Tribolium castaneum: one gene and its partners. The protein of the gene in region 4 purifies or fractionates together with the protein of the main gene of each other region. This does not show direct contact. Links are inferred from orthologs where the notes say so. Each region holds a gene or a part of one and is shown on either strand. Other genes may lie near its edges.

Region 1 (3,835 bases), on a different chromosome or scaffold from region 4:
CTTTTAAAGCACCTAATTTTTATTCGAAATTCCAAAGATTGTACTTTAATCGTTGAGATTGAGCCAATTGGTCTTGCGTTTATAGTTTTTAAAAACGGTTTTCTTGCACATATTTTGTATAGTCCGTTTGGTTGTATTACAATGCTCATGAGGGTGCTGGGTACATTTAAGTTTGTTCATATTTTATTTAGTATTACGCAACTATTTATACAACTAATTTGTAGGAACAGCAAAATCGGCTCTGTTAGCAAACAGATAAAGCAATATTGCATTGTTAATAATTTTCTATAAAATAAAAACAAATTCGACCTATCGGCAGTTTTTTCTTTTTCGTTGAAGGTTGCGATACCGTGGTGCCTTATTATCGATAACACTATCCATGTTACAGTTAGTAACTGTTTGAACATTCCGCTCATTTAGTTTATTGTAAAAACATATAAAATAAATTGTTGTGAATATTACCCATGGTTTTATTGGTAGGATAACAGGTTTAAGCATTACGACCTCAATTTGATCAAGTATCTATTTAAAAATAATAGATTATACAAGAATAAAAATACCCGACTCTCAAACAAACAATTACTCAACTTCCTGCTTATTTTTCTTCTTCTTCTTTTTGGGCGGCTCCTCCGCCTCATCTGCATTCCCATTGGTCGTCTGGTCCACGCCATTCTCTCCCACAGACTCACTCGTCTCGTTCAGCTTATGTTTCTTCTTTTTCTTCTTCTTCTCGGACTTATTGTGCGCCGTTTCTTGCTCCAACTCCTCCATCGCCTCCTTCATGACTTCGATATTCTTCTTGGGGACGTCCCCTGTCTCGTAAAACTTGAGCCTGTCTTCAACTTGTTGCCTCAACTTCTCGCCAAAAATCTGCGTCGGTTGTTCAGTGAAGCAGTCGATTCGCGATGCGATCGAGCACTTGTTCGCCAAATATCGCGAGATGCGCCCCTTGTTCTTAGCCCCAGCTCGCCCTATGAAAGTGGAGTGGAAGAGTAAGCCGTACTTCGGGGTGTTCCCCCTGGTTTTAAGAGCCCTGAAAAGGGCTTTTTCAGCCCCGAGGATCTGAACCGTGGACGCCGGGTACTTGGCAAGGTTTGTCAGAGACCCAGCGTGGGCGATCAAGCGCGCCCCCACTTGTTCGCCGATTAGTTTGGCCAGATTTGGGGCCACGTCGGTCATTTTTGTCTTCAAATATTCGGAAAGTTGGTTTCTGTAGTCGGCTAGAGCTATCACCCGGCCGGCAAACATTTCGATGTTCAGTAGATCAACAACGCTTATGTCCATGCCCATGCTGGACTTGGAGGCGTCCAAAATCGCCTGGGCTTTGCCTGAATCCATCGTGATTTCTTCCAAGCCCTCGAGAGAGTCCTCGCTTAGTTCTTTGCGGTTTTTGATGAATTTTGCCAAACGGGCGTAGGTGTAGTTCTCGGGGACTATTTTCACCAACTCCGGGAAATGGTAAGAGTACCATTCGCTGCAATACACTTGTTAGAAAGAAAATTTGGACAATTCGCAAAATCGTACCGAATTCTCATCGAGAAAGTGTTGATGTCTTTGTCGAGTTGGTCCAAAAGAGCTATGGATTGTATTATCATATTGTCAACTCTGTGGACGTTAAACTTGACCTTGGCTCGTGAATATGCATGCCCGAGCCCCAGTTGGGCCACGGCTGAGCTTTTCTGAGTGAAACCTTTCACAAGGTTATGGAAATGGTGCCTGATACCCCTGATTACCTCCGGGACAGCTCCGACGTGGCTACATTGTATCCCAAGCGCTTCGGTGATGGCAGCCCCCAACTTGGGGTCACTCACCCCCAACGTAAGCTTATTCTTTTTCTTACTTTTCGGGACTGTGATGTCCAAAAAGTGTAGCAAATCTTCGGGTAAAACACCCTCCGAGATTGCATTGATGCTTTCTAAAGCCGCAATGGCTGTTTTAAACGGCGAAAAACCAACGAGTTCGACTACGCTATTGAAGCGGGCTAGGTCGTGCACGGCTGCCTCCAACTGGGGCAGCAGCATACCGATTTCTTCAAATTCCTGCACTTTGAAAACCCCATAGCCGGCAGCGTGCTCGAATAACACATAAAGTTTAGACTGAAAAACATGCGGCGCTAGAGTGAGGTTATATTTACAAACATTGCTATAACTTTGCTTGTTCCAAAAAACGAGCAATTAGCAATGTTCTAGTTATGCAATATTGAATTCTTACCATAATTAGGCATAAAATTGGGCTAAAATTAATTAAATTCTATAACAGCACGCATCACAATCACACGTGTTTGCGCGATTTCGCTGGTAATTTTTACGGCAGTGTAGTGGTGGAGCTGACGAAAATTTAAATTCTGGCGCACAACTTAAATAATCTCTTACATTTATTAACATAAATAAATACAATTCTCAATAAGTTACGTAACAAATCACTTAAACACTACGACTGGACTTAAAATAACATTGAGGACAAACTTGAGTCCCAAAACGAGACCATCAATAACATTCTTAATATCAAATCTAGATTCAATCTCTTTTTTAACATTCGTCAGTTTATTATTACTACACGCAAGGCAACCAATTTCGTCCAATTTTACATGGGTTTTGAACCCCCCTAAAATCCCATCGGACCCCACAACCTCGTTATTAAACAACGTGCCTTTGAACCAAATGTGGTCATTTGGCTTAAGCCCCAGGGTGAAATTTCGAAAATAATCGTCAACTACAAGAGTGACTTCGGGGCTTTTGCCCCAAATCGCTGACTGCACTTTCGTTGTTATTTCAAACGTGTACGAATTGTATTTTTGAAGCGAACACGTTTTAGTCGATTTTATTGCATTGTAGAACGAGCTGCACTCTTCACGAACCGCGGGGGGGAAATCAGTACAATCATTTCGAGTCTCTTCCCCGTAAAAACAGTAAAGATAATGGCGCAAAGTCACAGGGAAGTGATCAATAATCGTTTGGAACTTATTCGAGATCGACGAAATTTTAATATCGTTGATGTAACCGTCCCAATTGATGTGCGAGTTGTGCAGTTCGGAGCACTTCACTTGAGCAATTGCGATGTTTTCCTCCTGCCACACCGGCTGGTGGCAAAACCGCTGATAAACGTCCCACGACAAATACTCGGGTAGTTTATTTTCAAAATAGTGTTCCTCATTTTTGTAATTTGACTTAATGAGGGTTAAAACAGCAAAAATCGTCGAAACGACTTGAATAAAAGCGGTGATTTTGCTGAACCTCGTTTGGGCACAAACCCAACATACCGCCAGGCCTAACCCGGTGGCCCCCACGAAGACACAAACCCCGAGAAAAAAATTCGAAGCCACGACCCATTTCGCTAGCGCAGCTGCGGGGAGTATCACACTTGTGAGCCCCACTAGGGGCAGGAACAGCACCACCCCCACTAAGGCCAAGCTGCCGCGCAACAGGCCGTACATTGTGGCCCCCTCGGAGCTCACAATGCACACCTGGAGCCAGCTCAGGGTCACACAGTGGGGGATCAACATTTGGTACGTGCCTTTCCAATCCTGGCGTGAGGCGATTTTGACCAACAAAAGCGGGATAAACATGTAGAGAAACAGGCGGAAATTGATACAAAATTCGATGCCGTTTCCTATCACATAGCTGGCGAAAGTTGGGATTTTTAGGTCGAGAAAGCGCCAACCTTGTGCCACCACTGGATCAGTCTCGTAGGGGTATTTCGCAAGGACGTTAATCCCAAAACTGAAAAACACCAAAAGGTCGAAAACTGTCTTCCCCCGTCTCTTGTACATGAAGCCTAGAAGGGTTGCAAACGTGAGACAGAACGAAATTATCATTAATTCAGACTGGGGGATCCA
Region 2 (4,012 bases), on a different chromosome or scaffold from region 4:
ATAGCAATTAAAATGTGTTGAATAAAGTTGTGTATAAACATTAATAAATTGTGAACGGTGTCTTTAAATGCCAGATTCATTGCTGACGACTAAACATATTTCGACTATTCTACACATTAACGGATCAAGAAAAAAAAATGTACATAGTTTCCCCATCTAAGAATTCTACTTTGAAGACACAGAATTAAAGCAAAGTCAAGCCGCAGAAAAAACACTTTTATTTTTTGAAATTCGAGAACTTCAAAATACGAGTGTGCTAAAAAGCTTATTTAAGCAGTTAGGCACGCTTTCTATCTACCAAAAAAAGTGTTTATCACTCATTACCACATAATAAAATATAAGTACAACAACTTTTCTATAAAAGCATTTTGCAAAAGTATTCATTATTTTTACTATTTCCCTCCTTTCCTGTAATAATTGATTCGCCTTTTGGGGGCCATTCTGAACACTGTAATGAATTTTTAAAGATAAAGTTTGCGAAATCGGGAAATTTTAAAGAATCTTTAAAAATTCATTAAAGTTCCAAGGGGTACTTTATGATTTTTTTACAGTCGAAGGCCCTATCGAAGAGCTTAATTTCCTGCAAAAATAAAGAAAATTGCAGGATATAAAGTGGGTGAAGAAAATAAAGTTTGCAAAATAGAGGAACTTTATAAAAATTAAAAAAAATTGTTAAGGTCCCAAGGGTGTTTGTCCGAACATGATTTTTTTACAGTCTCCTGCAAAATAATCTCCTGTAAAAATAAGGAAAATTACATAATATAAAGTAGATGAAAAAAAAAGTTTGCGACATCGGAAAATCTTTAAGAATCTTTAAAAATCCATTTTTACAGTCGAAGGCCCTATCGAAGGACTCTTCTTTTACAAAGATAAAGAAAATTGCAGAATATAAAGGGGGTGAAAAAAAATCAGTTTGCATTGCTTGAATATGAGAATAAAAAATGCAGAAATTAAATACAGTTAAGTTTTAATTTGTAATAGAAACACATTATAATGGTCAGGAGATTTTCTACAAATGTGATATGCAAGTCAGCGTAACAGCTTATTGATGTTTTTATAATGATTTACGATTATTTTGATAAATTTTCTGGTGTGAATTGGCTGCAGAAAACGAGAATGGTGGGGAAATAAATTGTCTGGTCGACTGTAATATTGATGGTGCCAGCACCATTTTTGAACCATGCTCTTCACCGACATTCAATTTTTTTGGAGTGATTGTCAAAACGCTGTCAACTGTCAAAACCCGCTCGGTCTGTGTGGTGTTGTTTGAATCTAAACTGGTATTTTTGTGATAATTTGTATATTCCAAGTGAGAAAAGATGTATCCCGTTGGTGGTGAGACGTCTCTAAGTTAGTTCAATCATAATCAGCAATAATAGCAACGAAAAATGCTTAGATAAGTCCTCCGTTGTGTACAGCACCCCTACATGGCTTGTTATTTAAACGAAAATGTTTACACGCACACGTTTACCCCACGAGAGTATCAAGTGGAGCTGCTGGACAGCGCTAAGAAGCGTAATACAATCGTATGTTCGAGTGCGAGTTCGGCGAAAGCGTTTATAACAATAAAACTGCTGCAAGAGTTCTCCCACAAGATGCGGGTGCCCCACGGAAAGCAGGCTTTATTCGTGCTGGACGGCCCGAACGTCCCGATAATGACGTCGCACGTGAAGCTGCTGACCGATCTGACCGTTACGAGCATAGATAAAGAGGAAAACCCCCCGTCGTTGAAGGCAAGCAATGTGATTGTGACCACAGCCGAAGTCTGTGTGCTTCTATGTAAGAAGAACTTCGTTCATTTGGACAGTTACGCTCTAATCGTGATAGACTGCTTATACGGGGGGCAACAGTCGTTAGTTAGGGAAATTATGGCCCGGTATCAGGCGATTCAAGCGCCCAGACCTCGAATTTTGGGCCTGACTGCCGGTCTTTTGGGCTCCGAGATGCAACCCGATCGTCTAGAAGCCGAATTACAACGCTTAGAAAAATTACTTAGTTCCTCGGTAGACACTTCTAGTGAAATTCTCACGCTGATACGCTTATCTTGTCGGCCGCGCGAACGCATAGTCGAGTGCTTTAAACCCATTCCAAGCCCTTTGCAGGACAAAATCAAGGCCACTATAACCTCCTGTCAGGATTTCCTCAAGGACCACCGCTACGATCCGAGCGAAATCTACGACGATGACTTGCTCGAGGAATTCAAGCAAGTCCCAGACCCCAAGGAACAGCCTTTGAGCTTCTTCGACGACTTCCTCGAAATTCTGGACGATTTGGGGCCCTGGTCGGCCGACAGAGCCGCCTATGGCATGCTTATCAAGATCGAGAAGCTCAAAGTCAAAGTTCCTTACGAAAGACATTATTTATTGTTATGCGTTGCTTCATCAGTATTAGTTTCGATAAGGGCTCTCTGCGAACTCGAATTCCAAGACTACACAGATAAGGAAAAGGTGTTTCGTTTCTCAACGCCGAAAGTACTCAGATTTCTCCAAGTTCTAAAGCAGTTTAAACCGACCGGTGATAAGCCGGAAACTTGCGACAAACTACCAGACCTCAAAGACCCCAAGAAGGGAAAAGGGAAAAACTACAAAGGGCCCCGAAGGCCGTACATCTCGCGCGCGCAAAGCGACGAGATGCTCTGCGCACTCGTTTTCGTCAAAAATCGCTACAAGGCGGAGGCCCTCTTCGCCCTACTGTGTGTAAGTAAAGCAGACGTGTTCCTGTAAGGCTAAGGGGTTGCCCTAAAGTGCCATCGTGTTTTAATGCTGCCTGTCGCAAGGTTTTGCCACAGAACTAACACTAAAATCATAAATTGAAGAAGTACGTTTATTTTGTAACTTATGATCTGTTTAAAAACTACTTTAAAGCCCTTGATGTTTAACACAAAATTAAAACAGGAAAAATATCTGACAACTAATTGTTTGGACTAAAAAAAGGAAAAACTTTCTAGTAGTTCGTGATTTATTTTTTTTGGGGGTTTAATGAGGTCACGACTTCCCACTGGCATACTTTTAATGATCTGTCACAGAATTTTAGCGTTTTTTGTTGCAAATGTGTTCTATTTTATTTTTTAAATCTTTCACCACTGTGGAAGATTTTTAAGATAATTTTTCATTTTGTGCCAAAAAGACACAAGACATATTTAAATCAGGCCTGTTTGCTGACCAAGACATAACATTAATGTGAGAATTACCGAATCATTAGGTATTTCAAATGTTTTGCTGTGTGACAAGAAGCATAATTTTTTTGTATAATTTTTCAGTCGGTGGTAATAAATGTTTTTGCAAAATATATTTGATGGTGTTCATGAACTCAAACCCACACCGTTTACAAACATGTATCATACCATTAGCAAATTTAAGCGTACTTTTGAGACAGTCTTTGTGAAAGATCTCTTGGTTATTTATTACTCGTTTTTGAGAATTGAGAATTTCAGCAGTGAGTAATGTTTTTTTTTCTTGTTAATGATAGTCAATTTTGGTGTTAAATTTCTTAGCGTTTATATATTTAGTTGCCAAGCTCAAGTGGATATATTTACAAAAAACACTAGAGTATTTAGAGAACTGCATAAGTTTGAAGTGATTTTATTTTTCCTTTAAACGTGAAGCATTTACTTCTCTCACTTTTGCTAAGAAATTCTTTTCTTTTGAAAAGAAGAAGCAACGCAAGTCTAGTTTATCTTTAATAGTCTAATGCTATTTTTGTTTATATTTATCTGCTTGACTTCATGGTTTGAACTCGAGCTTCTATTCTTTGGGCAAAATCTTGCGATACTAAGCTGGTCCCCTCAGCCTTAGAAATTGATGGTTTGCCCGCTGATTGTTTGCATTGTGTCAGGTGATGTCAAAGAGCGACGAGGAGTATTGGTGGGTGTCGGTTTCGTTCTCCGTGAATAAGATCGCAGATCCGGTGCGCGAGCCTCGGGAGGCGGAATCCGAGCATAAAAGGCAGGAGGAAGTTTTGCGGAAGTACAGAAGTCACGAATGCAATATAATGATAGCAACGTCGGCGTTAG
Region 3 (4,169 bases), about 6.3 Mb from region 4:
TTACAGTTGGAGGTTACGTTTGCAGGAGAGGTTATGTTGCCGCACTGAAAATTTAGTGTAAACCACGTGTTTACAAAGGGACGCTCTTTTACGTTTCTAATTATTTGAGGAGTGAAACAAAATGTCTTTTCGTGGCCGAGGCGGCGGTGGTGGCGGCTTTGGAGGTCGTGGTCGTGGGGGCGGCGGCGCTCGAAATTTTGGTGGAGGCGGCGGGAGAAATAGTTTTGGTGGTCGCGGGGGCGGCGGGCGAAACTATGATCAAGGCCCTCCTGAGAGAGTGATTCCTTTGGGCTACTTCGATTACACCGTACAAGATGATTTAGTTGCTAAAGTAGAAATAGAAGACGTTCCATTTTTCAATGCGCCGATTTACCTCGAAAATAAGGAACAAATCGGAAAAATTGATGAAATTTTTGGAAATCTCAGAGATTATTACGTTTCGATACGTCTCGGAGACGACATAAAAGCTAGCAGTTTTAAAAAGAATCAAAAGGTATAAAAAAATTCACTTACCATTCACACATCTAAAATAATGTTTTGCAGTTGTTTATTGATCCTGCGAAGTTGTTACCACTTCAAAGATTCCTACCGAAGCCCCCAGGCTCAGTCCAGAAACGAGGCGGTCGAGGGGGAGGTCGTGGGGGTGGCGGAGGCCGCGGTGGTGGCAGAGGGGGCGGCAATCGCGGCGGGTTTGGAGGAAGAGGAGGCGGCAATTTCGGTGGACGTGGGGGTCGTGGGGGCGGCGGCGGTTTTAGAGGTGGTCGTGGGGGTGGATTTGGCGGCGGCCGAGGAGGGGGCGGCGGCGGCAAGAGGTGGTAGACTTGAAATTGTGACCAATGTTTTTTGTGGTTGGCAATTGTTCCATTAAGTGTATGAAATTTTTATTACGAAAATAGATCTATGAAAAATAAGAACTACAGGTTATTTCAAATTTTTGTGTGAATATGTCAGCAAACAACACGAAATGGATGGTGCCACTGTTTGACAAAGTTAATAAATAAAGAATATTTAAAAAAAATTTAAACTGAAAACAAAACCTTAATCATCAAATTTTGTATGTTTTGCTTTCTTTAACAGTTTGTCTCTACCACGTTGTTTCTTTTTTGCTTTGTTTAGTTTATCCTCACGATCTGTTTTAATTTTTTCCCAATATGAAGATTCTTCCTGTCCTGTTAATACCTCTTTTTTGCCAAAAGATTCTTGGGAGCAAAAATTTTTAGCGCCCTCCGTGGTGTTAAATCTTACATAAATGTTCTCACTGCCAGGGTTTGGAATATCTACGTACAATATATCAGCTGAAGAAGTTTTAATTTCATTCTGAAAAACGATTTATCGCAAATAAATTGGCCAAGATATTTAGTTTAGAAAATTTACCTTAAGTTTCTTTATATCCAGGGTAGCTTCGGTTAGCTTTATTTTTACAATAAGTCCCTTGGTAAAATCCTCTTTGTTGAGTTCAGTCTTAGCAGTGGGAGTTTTCGACTTTTGTTCATAATTTGGTTGATTAAACTTGGCTTTTAGAAGGTGTTTTTTAAACTCTTTCATTTTCTTCTTTTGTAAATCTAGATACCGATTTCGCATCTTTTTCCACTCTTTTCTAAAAAACAATTATTTATCAATGATTAAAGATAATTCTAGCTGCTTCACTTACTTTGATAACACTTGGAGGCCCAATTCTTTTATGTAATTTTTCTTTTTGTGTTCTTTTTTCAATTTCTTCTTTTTCTTATTTTCGGCATCGTCCGACTCAGAAACGTCTCCAGTATCATGTTTTGAATTTTTTTCTTTTTCGTCACTTTCACTGTGTTCATCATTTTCTTCAGTGTGCTTACTATCATCGACTTTCATTTTTTTCCCTTTTTCTTCACTTTCGCCGGATTCACTTTCTTCAAGTTTTCGTTTTCTTATTTTTTCCTCCGCTTTACTCTCACAGTGTTCACTATCTAGTTTTTCGCTATTCTCACTATTGTCTTCAAGTTTTCGCTTTTTTGTTGCCTTTTCGTCTTCTCCAGATTTTGGCTTCAGTGTAGAATTTTTAGAGGAAGCCTCAGATTGTTCATTACTTTCTTCAAATGTTTTAATACTACAAAGAGTTTCTGGTTCTGTATTTGACGGCATTTTGCAGCCAATGCTTTCAAAGTAATTTAAAGCATTTTGCGCTTCCTTTTCTTTCTCGAATTCGACAAAAGCAAAACCCTTTATGGCACTATTGTTTTTGTATTTTGGTATAGAAACGTAGACCACATTTCCAAATTCAGAAAAAACAGAGTTCAACCATTCATGAGTTGCATCGGATTTTAGGCGTTCTACATAAATCGTACAATCATCAACGTTAGCCTTTTCTTTAACCGGTTTTGTACGACGAATTCTACTACGATCTTCTGATAATTCGATTAACTGCGACTTTTGTACAGCTTTTTGGATATCATCTATGCTGGTTGTGAGTTTAGTAATTTTGTTAAATTTCAAAAATACGTTCAGGTCGACAACTGAAAAAAGTGCTTGGTATTTACCTACAACTACTCATAAAATAATCATATAGTCACTTACAAGGATTCTCCTTTATTAATTGAGATAGAAATCTATCTTTGGTGAGGTTAGAGTCGCTAAAATAAAATTCCATTTGCTGCAAAATGGAATTGTAGAGTTGCTTTTTTCGATGGCGACCTTTTTTAAGTATTGAATCGTCGTGTGCATTTGCATTTTCTTTCGTTTCATTTTCCATTTTCAATACTTTGCAGAAGTAAAAATGAAAATTATAACCTAACTTAGCGTTTGGAAATGAAATTGAAAAAGAAACTGCCGCCAACCATAGAAAAAAAATATTTGTTGGAGGTAAATTTGGTTGCCTAATTAAAAAAAATGTTTTTAGAATGCAAAAAAAATCATTTACTTTTTAAATTATACGCCGCTTACTCTTATTCATAGGAGATAGCTCTTATTCAAAAAATAATTATGTTTAGTTGTATCAATTACACCCATGCTACTCCTAGTGCATTGTGTGCTGCACTTTTTACCTAATCAGGCGTGAAGTCTTAAGTGAATAACTCTATGTATTTAGTTTAGATTATGAAAAAAAAACTTTTATACTTTATTAACTAATTTAATTAAGTTTTACCATGAATTTGAATAGTACTTCAAATCGTTTCAAATAATCCATTATGTGAAACTGAATACTCACCTTGATTTCATCTTTCTTAGAAACGAACTATAAAGTCACCGATAAAATGATAAAAGTAAGTTGTTTATTACATTAAGTTACTTAAATCACTGACATACTTATATTGTTTGCCTTATGGATTGTGAAATTTAAACATCAGCACGTATAAGTACTGATGTTATCGCCTTAGCAACATATAAGCCACCAACTTGAGCAATCTTACAATAGGTTTAAATTTTATGAAACCATAAGTAAAATTATTCATCAGATTAAATTACAACAGTCATTTAAAAAAAACATTTATCATAACTAACTCATAGTATCTTTGCCGATGTTTTTTCGTGCTTATTTATTATTTAACTATGTACTTTTGGAGATGTTTTTATCTTTTGGCTTTTGGCCACAATTAATGAGGCAAATTCAAAATAAAAAGTTATAGTATGTACATTTGCAAAGATATTTTGAAAAACACATTAATTTTTTTAATTGTTAGTCCTTGCAATTTTAATTTAATTCTGGTCTAAAAGAATCATTGATCCACAATATTGATCCGTAAATGTATAAGTTTTTTCTAGTTAAAAGTTTAAAATAATACGAAATACAAAATAACAACAAACAAACAAAGAAAACAAACGTTAGAATAACTACAACTTGTCCTATCCAAATGTTTATAACTACTTTTTGTATTTAGATACACCAGCTATCAATAAAAAAAGTCAAGTGACTTAAATTAAAACTTTGTACCCTATTCATATCATTTATGTGTGTACTTAATTGTACTCACATTGTAAAACGATTTACTGATGTCATTGTTTTATTAACAAGTAGATAACAAGCATTTAAGTCATCAAGATAAATTAGGCTTAAGTCTTTTATCTAAGTCACTCAAACTAACGTCTGCATGAAGTTTTAGCAGACGATAGGCAAGTGGATAATGTTACAATAATTATAAGCACGTTCAATCATCATACAACCTGAATACCTACTTATAGATTATTATTTATCTTTT
Region 4 (4,040 bases):
GGCCATAATTTGCCCCTTCATTGAATACACTGGCAAACCTTGTCTCTCACTAATGATAGCTTTCAAATCAACGTCATGATTCAATTTTTGTTTGGTTTCTTCGGCCAAATGTTCGCTCAACTCGTCCAAGTTGGCGTTGGCAAGGGGGCCCTCATCAATGTTGCACCCAGTCCAAGGATTCCAATTTTGTTGAGGAGGCGACCATGGGACAACTCCTGCAGCTATCGGTTTGGAGGCTTGAAAGTCGTCCAAAATGTGATTGCTCAAAAGTGAAACCGGTTGGCTTTCGCTTTCCGGTTTAACCTCAACCGGAGTGATATTCAAAGTGTCGAGGCAATCTTTGATTTGTTTTTGTAAATCTGGGGAGATTTTTACATCGAAAGGTTTCATTTCACTGCCGGTTTTCTCTTTTTTAAGTGTTCCGGAAAATGCTTCAATTACACCGAGATGGAACAGTTGGCGAATGATGGAAAGAGCGCAACTTTTACTAGCGGTTTGCTTATTTGAACCGGAATCACGACCGGTTATTGTACGTCCGAGTTGCTTGACGTAGAAGCTCATTTCGGCCACAAAAGTCCTAAGAAATGGGAGCATTACAGTTGAGAAATAGGGGATTAAAAGTATACTTACAAGTGTATAATGCAGAGTTTTTATATTGTACCTTGGAGGAAAAACAGAACCAAGAACAGTAAAATATTTGAGTTGTTCCCACGGTAGCTGCAGTGGAAAATTATTATTTAAGAAACTACTGCAAGAAGTAAAACAGAAGTTTCATAAATAAAAAAATGACCTCAAAGTTACTAATTTTTTAATCAAACCAGTAACTCTATTATCAAAATGCCATTCAATTGGTTAAATAAAACATAAACGCATTCACAACTTCCTTCTTTCCAGAAAGAAAATCGTGAATTTTTTGGTAAATAAACGAAATAAATTATTCTATCCACTGTACTTAGTTCTGCTTTTCCACCTCTACTATTTTTTCTCTGCAGAAAAAAATAAAAAAGATAGAAAAATTTTAATTTCTTCAATCTTTCATTTTTTTCTAAAAATTTTCAAACCATAAATAGTCAAACAATAACAATAATCCTTCTGGCAGAAATGTTGGTTTTTTCAAAGCCAGAAAAAAAAATCGTGAATGGATAAAATAATAATGAAAATAAATTATTCTATCCACTGTTCTTGGCTTTGCTTATCTGTCTTTACTCCTTACATTTTTTTATTATTTCTTCTATTGGTGCCTCATTCTCTATTGCAGATTTAATTAAAAAAAAAAAAAAACAACATTTTTTCCTTCTTTTCGTTTTTTTTTCTATTTTTGGTATTTTTTATTATGTATATTTATTTTATTATTACGGTTCTTTCTTTATTTTTTATTCTCGTTCTCTTATACAAAAAATATTTAAAATAAACAGTGCAGGGGAAATGTTAAATTTCCAAGGCCAGAAGAAAAACGTGAGTAAACAATAAACAAAATAAATTATTCTGTCACTGTTCTTGGTTATGCTCTATTATTTTATTATTTTTCAGTTTTTCTACTGTGCCTATTTTTCTCTCTCTCCTCCCCCCACACAAACTTCCATCTACTCACTCTCTCAATACCAACCTGGAATGGTCTGGCCCCACTTGCGTATACTTATAATCCGCGTGTATTTTATTGCTTTGCATAAACTGATGCAGCTTTGACTTTGCATTCTCCACAGTCCAATTGCCATGAATCTGAGCATTCACATCCAAATCCTCTGCATCCTCCACACTCTTCTGTTCCTGCGCCCTGTTCATGTAATGCCAATCGTCGTGATCGCGCCCCAGAGGCCTGTAGGCCTCCCCAAACGACGAGGGCCCCATTCCCTGTCGAAACACCGAAGGGGCGGGCCCCCGATTCATCGGAACGGTGTTTGGACCTGGAGGCGCATCCTGGAAGTCGGGCACGTCGGCGGGGTTAACAATGCCTTCCCGGACGAGGTAACTGACGAAATCGCGGGCGGCGTTGCTTTGGGCGTCCTTTTTGTTGGTGGAATTGCCAGCCCCCACGTAACTGTAGCCATCGATGCGGACTTCGCAGAGGAATCTCTGGCGGTGTTTGGGGCCTTTGGGGAAATTAGTAAAGGGTGAAAAGGGGCTGCGGCTTACCGGTTGGCCGGACTTCAAACTGGGGCTGCTCTTTCTTGGTCTTCTGGCAGAACTGGTGCAAGAATGATTTTATATCGGACATCCTATTGAAATTTCGTATTTTTTAATCGAAGAAAATGCCGGTAAAAAATACGACCTTGGAAAAGTTTTGACATTTAACCACAGAATAGAGTCCGCGAAATGACAGATCGTCCACGGTGGTAGGAGTGCGCAGAGACGAAAACTCGTCTCGGACGAGTCCAATCTTTAAATTAGGGGTGTTGGCAGAAAACAGTGGCGTGGCGTGTACTTACATGTGTAGGGAATTCGTCTTAAAGTTTAACATTTCAATATTACCAGTTATAGTAAAGATACCAGTAGAAACATTTTTTGCAATAAACGCGTTTTTACTCTTTACTCATTGTGTATTTTTATTTATTCGACCTCTCTGCTTTGTATTTCTAGGAAATCAACGTGTATTAGCATTAGATATGATTTTTACTATTTCATCTTGCAATTATTGAATAGAGGAAATTTTAACTACTACAAATTATGAATCTCAAACCCTTCTTGATCATAGAATAGTTTTTTGCTACGCCACTGCTCAATCTCCTCACTCGATGAAGTACGCATTGGCTCCGCCTATCGTGGTCGTTTACAGAGTTTCCGAGCTCTACCACTAATTTTCGCACTAAAATTTCACATTGCCAGTTTCTGTTTAAATATAAACATGCATTTTTATTTTTCCATTAACTGCATGCGAAACTTTTATAATTTTAGACGTTTATAGACAAATACATTTGTCATAATTAACTTTTCTAGATCAATACTGTTCTATTTTGAATAATTCTGTGTATGAATGTTTCTAAATTTGACGGATTTGGACAGTGAATGTTTCTGGTTATGACTTGTTTTAGACGTGTGATGACGTCACATCCGAGGTTAGGTGTGCGGCGCAGGCGGCGAGGGCGGTTCAGTCGACAGCGAGCAGTGGCACGGGTCAGATCGGGAGCGGAAGCGGGAGGCGAAGCGAGGTGAGTCGGTTTATTTAAATTATTGTGTATTGTGCGGTTTCGTTCAATTTATTCAGTTTGTTACTTGCCGTTGTCGCGAACGGACGTGTGTTCAAGCAAATCTAAATTTTCCGGTTTAAATTTTCAATTCGGTGGCTAGTGATCGCGTTTGAGTGACACATTTTAAATACAGTAAATAAAATTATTATCAAACACTCAAATAATTTATTGCCACGTAATAATTTTGTCTTTAATTTCAATGAATGAAAGTGGCTTGCTCAAAATTTAATGCAAATAAACATTTTTTTGGTTTCATTTTTATTATTATTTTTTTTAATGCTACAAACGGTAGCCAACGAGGAAGCGATATGAAGGTAGGTGTATTTTATTGCTGTGTCGTATTTATTTATTTCACAAACCAATAATTTCATAAAACTTAATTGCAATTAAAATCTTTAAATGCGGTGTTGAAAGTGACATTTTGAGTGACGCATTTTAGATACAGAAACTATAAATAAAATAAAACACTCAAATAATTTATTGCCACGTAATTTTGTCTTTAATTTCAATGAATGAAAGTGGCTGCTCAAAATTTAATGCAAATAAACATTTTTTTGGTTTCATTTTTATTATTATTTTTTTTAATGCTACAAACGGTAGCCAACGAGGAAGCGATATGAAGGTAGGTGTATTTTATTGCTGTGTCGTATTTATTTATTTCACAAACCAATAATTTCATAAAACTTAATTGCAATTAAAATCTTTAAATGCGGTGTTGAAAGTGACATTTTGAGTGACGCATTTTAGATACAGAAACTATAAATAAAATAAAACACTCAAATAATTTATTGCCACGTAATTTTGTCTTTAATTTCAATGAATGAAAGTGGCTGCTCAAAATTTAATGCAAATAAA
Region 5 (2,645 bases), about 29 Mb from region 4:
GGATCCTGTTACAAGAGGTATTGAGATTGCCATCCACTGGATGGGATTCAATTTCGACGTGAATTTTTGGTCGCAACAAGTTTCGTTTTATTTAGTTGGATGTATTGTTGTCACGTCAATCAGAGGTTTACTACTAACGTTGACTAAAGTAAGTTAGAAAAAAAAAATCCCAATTGTGTAATTATGTAATTTCTTGCAGTTTTTTAACAGAATGTCGTCAAGCAAGAGTTCCAACATAATCGTACTTATTTTAGCCCAAATAATGGGCATGTACTTCGTATCATCAGTGCTTCTAATGCGAATGAATATGCCCCCACAATACCGAACTATCATCACTCAAGTTTTGGGAGATTTACAATTTAATTTCTACCATCGTTGGTTTGACGTGATATTTTTAGTAAGCGCTTTGGGCAGCATTGTTACGCTCTATTTGGCCCATAAACAACCAGTGCATGAAAATTTATAATTGAAATCTTGTGATAAATAAAGGAAATAAAAGGTTCGTTTTTACGTAGTTAAAATGACGTGTAATGTTTATTGAACAAAAACTTTAGACCTAGTGATTATATTATGTTACATACTTAATCTGATTACTTCCCAGAAACGAACTTTGATAATCCTTCTAAAAGACCAATGTAAGCCGAGTGCTCATAAGATGTGCTGAAATCTGATAATTTTCCAACAAATTCGTTAGAGATTCCCTTTTCCTCCAAATAGTTAAGGATAAGGTCATACAAATACTGAAAATTGTAAAGCAGTAATAAAAAAAACTGTTATAATACTACATTACTTACGGTATCTAAAACGTCTGATGCTACTGCATAAACATTTTCATTCCATGTCCCATCGTACAAACTGATCTCATCGACTCTAAATATGTCATCTGTAAAAAATTGATGTAACAACTTAGTGTAAGTCAATCACTAATTTTATAAATAAAAGCTGAAACATTTTAATGCAAAATAATAATGCACTGTACAAAAAAAACATTGCATTTTCAATGTTTTCGTACGTTTTTCAGCCAGAAATCCAATCATTTCGCTAAATATTATTAAAAAAACAAGAGAAAAATACAGGGTTAATCTAAAAACGGTCATTGTCACTATAATCACATTGTTTTTGCCATTTATGAACGTTTTTCATCCAGAAACAAGATTTCACTTAAGGCATGTATGTGTATTATTAGAAATATTTAAGCCTTTTCTCAGTCAGAAATACAATTATTATTTTTAAATATCAGAAATAATTCAGGAAATCACTAACTTAGCTCGAACATAGCGTAATCTTTTTCGCGAGATTTAATCTGTTCATTATTTCGAAAAATTTCGTCACAAATCAGCCGACAAATCATCAAAATAATTTTTAGATTTTTTTTGTCATTTCTAACGTGTAAGCACGTTTTTGGACTTATTGTAAGATTTCGTTATTCAAGCAAGAATTAACTAAAAAATCACCCGAAATTATTTTGAAATGATATTTTTACATTTTGTCAAACGTGTAAGCATGTTTCAGAGCTAAAACCTCCAGTCTTTTTGCAGGATTTTGCTATAATCAAATCTAGATATCTCCATATGAAATGTTATTTCATCTTGTTTTATTCGCTTCATTTATTTTGCAAAATTTGGTCAAAACAATAAGCATCCGATTGCGAATAAAAGTAAAAAAAAACTTGTAAAAGCGTTACTAAAGCTGAGAATGGTCTAATTTTTCAAGCAAGAACGCAACTACTTCAAGAAAATTCGTCAAAAACAACAAAAACAAAACAAAAAGAGTAACCGATTGACCTGTACTAACTAAAAACACAATTTTTACATTTTTAAGCGTGTAAGCATATTTCTGAGGTAAGATCCCAATCTTTTTGCAAGTTTTCCGTAAAACCGGACACAAAAATCTCATAAAAGGGTAAGAATAATAAAATGTTTGCCTTTTCGAGATTTTTTTCTTTATTTTCCCCACAGTTTCGCTAGCTAAACAAAATTAGGTCAAATGTAATTATTTTTGCCAATTTTAACCGTTTTACCACGTTTTTCGTCCAGAAATATTCGATTGTTTTTCAAAACGTTGTAAAAAAACTTAGCTCAGAAATCACTAAATTAGCTTAAAAATAAGGTAATTTTTTGCGTAATTTCGCTAATATAAAAAAACATATGTAAAATAAATAGAAATAGTTTTATTGGTGTTTAAAAACAGTGCGTCATAACACGTCAATAAAATAAGAAACGTGCAAACTAAAAAAAAATCTACAAGTCACTGAAATTGCAGCGAAAATATTCATCAAAGTCATAGACACAGTTCCTAAATGAAAAATCTTTTAACTTTCTTTTAAAAACATATAAAGGTAAATTACAAAAATTAGTTGGCAACATATTATAAAATTTAAATAAAAGCGTTACTAAAGCTGAGAAAGGTGTTATTTTTACTTTTACTGAAGATTCCAAAACGTTTTTTAAACAAAAACGTAATTACTTCGAGAAAATTCGTCAAAAATAAAACCTATTGAGAATAGTATTTTTACCTTTTTCAAGCATGTAAGCGCGTTTCTGAGATAAAACCTTAATCTGTTTGCGAGTTTTCCGTATAATTGGACACAAAAATCGCAAAAGGTAAAAAATGATATTATTTTTACCAATTTTAACCGTTTTATT

Evidence for each region.
Region 1: the proteins of mle (region 4) and Nop56 purify together in Homo sapiens (affinity purification with mass spectrometry; 3 studies listed by BioGRID and IntAct, with this or other methods). This does not show direct contact. The link is inferred for Tribolium castaneum from reciprocal best matches to the Homo sapiens genes DHX9 and NOP56.
Region 2: the proteins of mle (region 4) and Dcr-1 purify together in Homo sapiens (co-immunoprecipitation; 3 studies listed by BioGRID and IntAct, with this or other methods). This does not show direct contact. The link is inferred for Tribolium castaneum from reciprocal best matches to the Homo sapiens genes DHX9 and DICER1.
Region 3: the proteins of mle (region 4) and Larp7 purify together in Homo sapiens (affinity purification with mass spectrometry; 3 studies listed by BioGRID and IntAct, with this or other methods). This does not show direct contact. The link is inferred for Tribolium castaneum from reciprocal best matches to the Homo sapiens genes DHX9 and LARP7.
Region 5: the proteins of mle (region 4) and P32 purify together in Homo sapiens (affinity purification with mass spectrometry; 3 studies listed by BioGRID and IntAct, with this or other methods). This does not show direct contact. The link is inferred for Tribolium castaneum from reciprocal best matches to the Homo sapiens genes DHX9 and C1QBP.

Annotation. Positions count from the first base shown.
Region 1 is NC_087395.1:14,127,674-14,131,508, reverse strand, and holds Nop56 (nucleolar protein 56), read right to left. Parts: upstream 2,347-3,835; 5' UTR 2,215-2,346; coding exon 2,212-2,214; intron 2,097-2,211; coding exon 1,525-2,096; intron 1,475-1,524; coding exon 580-1,474; 3' UTR 510-579; downstream 1-509. Other genes in the region: wfs1 (wolframin), read right to left, coding at 2,420-3,835. UniProt on the Homo sapiens protein: Involved in the early to middle stages of 60S ribosomal subunit biogenesis. Required for the biogenesis of box C/D snoRNAs such U3, U8 and U14 snoRNAs. Part of the small subunit (SSU) processome, first precursor of the small eukaryotic ribosomal subunit.
Region 2 is NC_087403.1:8,547,448-8,551,459, reverse strand, and holds the start of Dcr-1 (endoribonuclease Dcr-1), read left to right. Parts: upstream 1-1,211; 5' UTR 1,212-1,335; intron 1,336-1,396; 5' UTR 1,397-1,427; coding exon 1,428-2,696; intron 2,697-3,834; coding exon 3,835-4,012. UniProt on the Homo sapiens protein: Double-stranded RNA (dsRNA) endoribonuclease playing a central role in short dsRNA-mediated post-transcriptional gene silencing.
Region 3 is NC_087394.1:30,502,005-30,506,173, forward strand, and holds the start of Larp7 (la-related protein 7), read right to left. Parts: upstream 2,807-4,169; 5' UTR 2,726-2,806; coding exon 2,551-2,725; intron 2,490-2,550; coding exon 1,652-2,489; intron 1,598-1,651; coding exon 1,375-1,597; intron 1,318-1,374; coding exon 1,039-1,317; 3' UTR 820-1,038; coding exon of another isoform or gene 544-819; 3' UTR 494-543; coding exon of another isoform or gene 122-493; 3' UTR 1-121. Other genes in the region: Gar1 (H/ACA ribonucleoprotein complex subunit 1), read left to right, coding at 122-493, 544-819. UniProt on the Homo sapiens protein: RNA-binding protein that specifically binds distinct small nuclear RNA (snRNAs) and regulates their processing and function.
Region 4 is NC_087394.1:36,799,053-36,803,092, reverse strand, and holds the start of mle (dosage compensation regulator), read right to left. Parts: upstream 2,813-4,040; 5' UTR 2,270-2,812; intron 2,217-2,269; 5' UTR 2,216-2,216; coding exon 2,134-2,215; intron 2,091-2,133; coding exon 1,607-2,090; intron 718-1,606; exon of another isoform or gene 631-717; intron 578-630; coding exon 1-577. UniProt on the Homo sapiens protein: Multifunctional ATP-dependent nucleic acid helicase that unwinds DNA and RNA in a 3' to 5' direction and that plays important roles in many processes, such as DNA replication, transcriptional activation, post-transcriptional RNA regulation, mRNA translation and RNA-mediated gene silencing.
Region 5 is NC_087394.1:7,762,177-7,764,821, forward strand, and holds the end of P32 (complement component 1 Q subcomponent-binding protein, mitochondrial), read right to left. Parts: intron 884-2,645; coding exon 795-883; intron 741-794; coding exon 591-740; 3' UTR 505-590; downstream 1-504. Other genes in the region: GPHR (Golgi pH regulator), read left to right, coding at 1-148, 200-466.